2 linked regions of the Arabidopsis thaliana genome follow. The protein of the gene in region 2 interacts with the protein of the main gene of each other region in a pairwise test. Each region holds a gene or a part of one and is shown on either strand. Other genes may lie near its edges. The genes, in order: CB5-A and RTE1.

Evidence for each region.
Region 1: the proteins of RTE1 (region 2) and CB5-A interact in a two-hybrid assay, tested with the Arabidopsis thaliana proteins (one study listed by BioGRID).

What each region holds. Positions count from the first base shown.
Region 1 is NC_003070.9:9,111,672-9,115,600, reverse strand, and holds CB5-A (cytochrome B5), read right to left. Parts: upstream 1,738-3,929; 5' UTR 1,610-1,737; coding exon 1,523-1,609; intron 1,267-1,522; coding exon 1,200-1,266; intron 1,100-1,199; coding exon 846-1,099; 3' UTR 624-845; downstream 1-623. Other genes in the region: AT1G26330 (DNA binding protein), read right to left, coding at 2,081-2,178, 2,270-2,385, 2,559-2,903, 3,087-3,215, 3,335-3,553, 3,639-3,724, 3,817-3,929.
Region 2 is NC_003071.7:11,105,305-11,109,233, reverse strand, and holds RTE1 (protein REVERSION-TO-ETHYLENE SENSITIVITY-like protein (DUF778)), read left to right. Parts: upstream 1-2,045; 5' UTR 2,046-2,268; intron 2,269-2,616; 5' UTR 2,617-2,626; coding exon 2,627-3,493; 3' UTR 3,494-3,629; downstream 3,630-3,929. UniProt on the Arabidopsis thaliana protein: Acts at an early step in the ethylene signaling pathway. Positively regulates ETR1, leading to the negative regulation of ethylene responses.

The sequences.
Region 1 (3,929 bases), on a different chromosome or scaffold from region 2:
AGTCCTGAATTGTTTTAGATTTCCAAGAAAAATTTTGGTTGTTATTTTCAATCAAGGAGAGTAACACAACTCAAAAAACAAAGGAGTGTTGTTGCAAGAATTAGACAAAGCTGACGCAGACCATAATACCACCAGCATTATCATCAACAGAAGCCAGAACCAACAAGATCTAACCTGCAGGATTCCCTTTTTGGTACTGGCTGGTCTTATAGACCGTGGACAATTTCAATTCAGAAGCAATTAGCGATACATCAGGTCCTATAATTGCATGAACTTGAGAGGAGATCTCATGTACCAATACAAAGCAAAGAAATTCTACAAAGAAGTGGCTTTCTCAACTGGAACCTAGAGATAGAGCTACCAACTTTCAGGAATTGGGATTTCCAATCCTAACTAATATATTCTCATCGCTATATGATCATAGATCCACCAGTGTCTCATACTCTCTCAGTTACATATACTAAAAGGACAAGCAAGGAAGATATTTTGGTACATGTTTTTGGTCTTTCTGAATCAAATCGACAGATACTACATAATATCAATGCTATATAGATAACGTCGGCTTTGCGAGGTTATCTGCTACCAAAAGGGACGATATGCAAAGACTTCTTCTAATAAAAAGATTGATACCAGCAAACCAAACCATCCATTAATCATATATAATCATATCGATAATAAGTGTATTGAAACATGATCTCAACTCAAAATCTGATAAAAATGAAAAATAACAATTATCTCTCTATCATATCTGTTATTCAAAAAATCTATAATGGGGGTGTAAAGTTGATTCCCCAAGTAATTCAATATCCCAGAGCATATCAAGGTAAGAAAGAGACTACTACTTATTAAGTCTTGCGAGAGAACAAGACACTAACCGCTACAGAGATGGTGATAATGGAGACAGGAACAACCCAATACTGCTTTGTCAAGTCAAAAAGCTTCTGAACAGAGTCTTGTGGCTGGTCCTTCTTGTAGATCTTAAGCTCAGGTATTTCCGGTAAAGAAGATTCATCTAGCTCGCCAATAAAATACTTCTCCATAAGTTCCCTAGCATCTTTGCTGTGCCCTGCGTCTTCAAAATCATCCGTTGCATCTTTGCCTTCAACAACAACATCATCACATTTACTTGGATTAGAGTAGAGACAACAACAGATCAGTCATTTAGCAAGGATGGGCAAGAGGAAGAAGAAGAAGCTTACCTGCGACAGCAAGAAGCACATCATCTCCTCCAGGATGCTCATCCATATAAGAGGATACATCATAGACCTGTAAAGAGAACGCATCAGCCATATCATTTTCTTGGGGACCAAGATTGTGAAGTCAACACATTATCAACAAAAAAAAAGAGGAAGAAGATTCTGATTAGCTCAATCTAACTACATATAAACAGCAATTACAAGATTCTTCATTAGATTCTATAGGCAACAAGACACAGATATGGTTTCTGAAAGCGAAGGAAACTTCAGGATTCACAAACACATGAACAAGGATTGAAATTAGAAGATTGAGAAAAAGAGTAGACCTTGCCGTCGATGACGACCCAGCAGTCATCTTGCTTGTTGTGAGTTGCGGCTTCTTCCATGGAATAAAGCTTTGTGAGTGTCGGCATCTTCTTCTGAAACTGAGTAGCGAGCGAAATAGCGAATGGTCTTTGATTTTTCTCTTTTTGGGGGTTTTAGGTTTGGTCGACCACGCGAAAAGATGAGCAGACTAGAGGAGAAAGATAATAAGAGCTAGAGCCCTCTCAGCAACGACGTCGTTTAATTTAATTATTTATAATTTCATATTCTTAATTCCTTTTTGGAAAATTAGCAAAAATGGAATAAAAAATTACTGAGAAATCAGAAATGCCTTGTAAGTTGTAGCAACGAATATACATAAAAGATTTATTTATCATCATTTATCATTTACATCTTCGTACAATTTTTTTTAACTAGATTAGAAAATTCTCAACTTGTAAGCCATATGGTAAAAGTTTACAAGCATAAAAACTTAGTTGACTTAAAAATGTAACCAAGCCAATTGAAGTCATTTTGGCAAAACATCTTTTTGTTGTTACCCTCCTTGATTGATTTTGAGTTTACTTTTCCGGATGGCAATAAACTAGGAGCTGACCATCTTCACTTGCTATGCATATATTTCTGGAATCATCAGTACTGATGCATGAAACTCTTTGACCTGACAAAATCCATGTAACAATATTAACTTTTGAGAATTGACTTCGTTATTTTCATGGATATATCTAGTTAAAACTTCAATCAGTGTATACCTTTGAAATCATGGAGAGAGCCGAGTTTAGTGCCAGTGGATAAGTCCCACATATACACAAGTCCATCAAGTGTGCCTGCTACTCCATGGCCAGATATTGTACCGGCAACATCAGCCCTGTAAACCACAAATCCATAGCCAATGAACCATGGATTTAGAAATGTTACCATTCATATACCATTTACTTCTCATATAATCCCCAAAGCAAAACTAATTTCTCGGAACATGGAGAAACCAGAGGAGCCTGAGAAAGACAGTATCCATGTAAAGAAAGAGATGTGTGATAATACCTCGGATCCAACTGACTTCCCAATATGAGTTGGTCTTTCACAAGGAGAGCAAGTCTCCAACATCTAACTGGACTTTCTACACGGTCACATTTAGCATCTGAGTCAAGATCAGTAGAGACTAAAAGCCAAATAGCAGTGTCTTTGACTTCAGCTGGAACCAATGTTTTGTTGTTGACCCCTTTTGAGAACCATAATTTTGTTGCAGCTAAAATCATGTCAACGTTATCCTCGATTGTAGAATGACTATGTACAGGGTGCCATGCAAACAAGCTCGTCGGAATGAACTCAAAGATCAAATTGCTGGGAGATACAAATCTTGATACTAGGCTTCGCTTCGAGATATCCCTAAATCGATAATAAACAAAGTTAGCAGGCCGAAACAATGGAGACAGGAAGAAAAAGATCAAGCAAAGTTGGCTGCTCCTCATCATTCCCTAGCACGGATAGTGTTCTGTAATTTAACAAAGAGATGGGCAGAGAAAAAAACTCTAAAGATAGAGGGAGAGAGAGAAAGAGGGAGCAAAATACCATATTGTAAATTCTCCTATACCATTATGCCCAATAACGAGATGAGGACATTTTGGTATCTTCTTCAGTTCCATGATGCATGATGATATGCAAGGATTTGCGAGTATAACATATTCTTCGGTAGGACCACTGCAAATTAAGGATACAAGAACATTAGCAAAAATTCCAATGATGATCCAATAGCTCCAAATAGAAGAAGGATCTGACAACTATTTTAAGAGAAGAGTAATGAACTCTGATGAGAGTACCTCCAATGCGAGTTCATGGCCCAGACAATAAGGTTTCCACTCTTAACAGCTGCAATGAGATTGTTAGGATCGCACACCACCACACACTGCACACTGTCATCTGCTTGAAGTTTTGTCACAAGAGAAACATGACCAGTTTTCACCTGGACAATCCTCACTGCATTCTCCTCAAAACAGGCTGATGTACAAATCAAACACGAGCAATCAGTTTCCCTCTTCCTGCAAAAAAGGGAAAATAATAATCTCTTAGCTAATATCTTTATTCTGTATCTCTGTACCATATGAAACAATAAAGAGTCCAAACCTGCAATAAGGTGTTTTGATGTTGCCAGTTAAAATAAGATGCAGCCCGTCTGGAGTGAAGTGCAAATTAGATATCTCGAGTGTTCCCTGACGAAATGTAACAACTAACAACTATTAGATAACTAGAGAGGAAAAACAAGTTTAAGAGAAGAAACTACGAAAAAGTTTAATGAATTTACATTTCCACTAGATTTGTCATCCACAATGGGGAGTATGGCAGGAGTGTGACCAATGATAGACGGGAATCCTTTGCTTGGTGCCTCAGCTGACATCTTGTACATAAACAGGGTCC
Region 2 (3,929 bases):
TACTTCTCTTCCCAGCCTCATCATCACTTTCACTTTCACTTCCTGTACAATGTACATACGTAGTCCTAAGTTCTTCCCTCATTTATTTAATAAAATACATTTCTTTATGTTCCACTTTCTTATACGTATAACATTCCATTTGGATGATGTGATCACCATCGTGGTTATATTTATGCCATATGATCTCTTTGAAAAAAGTTTGAATTCTTAGGATATTTATTGTTTCATTTTATAATTAGGAAATTTGGCAAAATAACCATAATTCTAGGTTTTATAAACAAACTGACTGACAACATATAGGTTCTGAATGGTTGCATGTAGAGTAAAAAGTGGAAGTGAAGGAGACAAAAAAATTTAGTGAAAGAAACAACCAAATATTAAAGGAAAGGAATCTAAATTTTGAAGTAGTTATTTTTTCTCTCTCCTTTGGGTAGAGTTAGATTTTTTTTTATAAAAAAAAGCTTAATACCAACTTGAACTTCCTTTCCAAAGAAAACTAGGAACTTGGTAGAGTTAAAATTTAATTTCACTTTTCTACATTTTGGCCAAAAAAAAACAAAAAGCAGTTCTAACCAATGCTAATCTTTTCTATTTTAGAGACACACATTGGAACAAAATCAACTCTAAAATAGTGAAAAAAAATAAAGGTAGGACATGGGAGATGCTCTTATGTTTCTGCTAATTTTTTCAATTGCCACTAATCAGACTTGTAGCATTATTCTACTAAATATCAGATTGGACATTAGATCACCTATACTAAAACCATCTCCAATGGTCACCTCTATAAATAGAGGAAAATATAGAGGTCATCATTAGAGATGCCCTAAGTCCTTGAACCAAAACCTGTATTTCCTCACAGAAAATAGATTTTCTGTATAGCCACATTAATTCATTCTAACTAGACTCTCACTGAATCTTTGAGAGGACCAACCTCATAATGATTTTTTCCTATCCTATATACTAATGCTTGTTTTTTTTTTTCTTCCGAAAGGTGATTAAAGGAGCATATTCTCATCGAGCCCTGTTCGGTTACCTCTCTAGCAAACAACTCATCTATCCTACGCTTTATCACTATTTTAGAGCACCTGACATTTCTCTTAAGAACAAATCAACCTTGTAAAGCATATGTGGCTTGATTCAAAAAGACAAACACTAGTGATAGACGCAAGAACCCTAAATAAAAAAAGTTTTCTAGATTCTCAAAACCGTTAGGTCTGACAGACATATATAAACAATTATCGAATTGTTATTAATTAATACGATGTCACTCTATACCTATAATAGAGATTAGGGTTTCCATGTGTTCATTTATCCAACCATAATTAATAACGACAACGGTAATCAATAAGACACATTAAGATTGATCGGTCAAGAGTTATGAGTTTCATAAGTCATCTCCAAATTTTGCGGAAACTAAATATTTAAACATCGGATTCTCTGTTTGTCAGTTGTCAGATCATCTGACTCGCATGCACATGATTCGTCTCAAAAAGGCAAACACGAATGATAGATGCAAGGACCCTAAATCAAGAAAGTTTTCTCGATTCTTAAAACCGTTACGTCCGACAGAAAAACATAAACAATTGTCGAATTGTCATAAATACGATGTCACTCTATACCTATAATAGAGATTGAGGTTTCCATGTGTTCATTTATCCAACCATAATGAATAACGACAACGGTAATCAAACACGACAAATTAGAAATAATCGTTCAAGAGATTTGAGTTTTATAGATTGACTCCAAATTTTACGGAAACTAAATATATAAACATCGGTTTCTTTGTTACAAAAAAAAAACATTGGATTCTCTTCAGTATTTGAGCTTTTATTACTGAAAATACAAATTTTATAATTTCGTAGCTCTGGATTCTGATAGTAAAACTGCAATTGAGAAGGATATTCAAATATTTCAAAATTTTCTAGTAAAACTGCAATTCGTAGATCTTTTTTTTTTGTTCAAAGTTTTGATAAAGCAAACGTCCCTTTTTCCTTAAAATAATTAACTTAGTATATAATAATAAAATTAAGACAGTGCAGTAATTGATAAACAACCAAAGGTTCATTGTACCTTTCTCCATTGTCTTCAATGAATTCCTAAAACTAGAAGAAGCGTTACTTTAGAAAACCAATTATAAAAATCTCCTCTTTCTTCATCAAATTCCACAAAGCATCAGTTTCTTCTCCTTCTCCAAGCTCTCGCATCACTTTCATCGATTTTTCCTCTCTGCGTCGATCCTTCAGACATCGGCGTCGGAGTTTCCGACAGGTAAATGTAAAACACAGTCCACTGTTATTCCCTGCTTCTTAGCTTTCCATTATGATTTTTTGTTGTGATTTTTACTGTTTTCTACGGAAATGCTTTTGATGGGTTTTGTTTAGTTTCCGGTGAAATTTACAGAGAAACCCACAATGCTGAAAATCTGAATTAGGCTCAAGTTAGGAGATTACTACACAATTAGTGCTGTGAGAATGAATATACGGACATGCTTTGTTAAAAAGATTGAAACTTTTGCTTCATTTTGATCAAAAGATTTTAACTTTCGATTCTTTTAGTAAATGGGTCGCTCTTTGTTTGGACTATAATGATCAGACTGCTCTTGTCTTGTGTGATTAGGAATCTAAAAATGTCACGTGGAAGAGGAGTTCCTATGATGGACCTGAAACGAAGTTATGATGTTGAAGACAGGGTGGTGTCCGTGTCTATACCATCAATAATCGAAGCTGATGAGGCTGATCTGTGGCCACTACCTGAGATTGATACCAAGAAGTCGAAATTTCCTTGCTGTATAGTTTGGACTCCTCTTCCTGTTGTCTCTTGGTTGGCTCCTTTCATTGGTCATATTGGACTTTGCAGAGAAGATGGAGTCATTTTGGACTTTGCTGGATCTAACTTCATCAATGTTGATGATTTTGCATTTGGTCCTCCTGCTCGCTATCTCCAACTCGATAGAACCAAGGTATTAGTATCTGCTTCTTTATTAAGTAGAATCTGGTTATGCATGGACTTTGTTAGTTTTGTATCAAATTATAAGAACTTTTTAATCTTTATCAAATGTGTGTGTTTGTGGCAGTGTTGCTTACCACCAAATATGGGTGGACATACTTGCAAGTATGGATTCAAACACACCGACTTTGGAACAGCGCGTACATGGGATAATGCACTGAGCTCGAGCACACGTAGCTTTGAGCATAAAACCTACAACATCTTCACTTGTAACTGCCATTCGTTTGTTGCAAACTGTTTGAACCGTCTTTGCTATGGTGGCTCAATGGAGTGGAATATGGTGAATGTTGCTATTTTACTTATGATCAAAGGGAAATGGATCAATGGTTCATCAGTAGTCCGCTCGTTTCTGCCATGTGCTGTGGTCACGTCTTTGGGGGTGGTGCTTGTCGGCTGGCCATTCCTCATCGGTCTCTCTTCGTTCTCGCTACTACTCTTTGCCTGGTTCATAATTGCTACTTACTGTTTTAAGAACATAATTACTTGAAGCAGTATGAGAGAAATATAAATATGATGTATCACCAAAATTATGTTAATCTTAAGAATTGTTCTCTTTTCCTTTCGGCACCATCTAGCTTTCAACTCCAAAATTATGTTAATCTTAAAAAATTGTTCTCTTTTTCCTAATCCGTAGATTATTTAGAGGTGATGTGTCATAGTAAAGGAAAAAAATATACATATTCGGAGGCCCTTAAGAAAAAAACATACAATATCCAAATAAATGTATTGTTAGGTATTAACAAAAAGAAAAAATATTGTAAGATCTTACAAGCACAAGCAGCAACCATATGAGTTGCATCTAAATTTGCTATTTATATGGAAAAAAGAAGTTTCTCCAAAGTTGTACGATATCAGCTATGTATTTTTTGTTTCGTCAAAAAGTTGTTTATTAAATTCCACAAAGTTGTACCAACAGTGTTAAA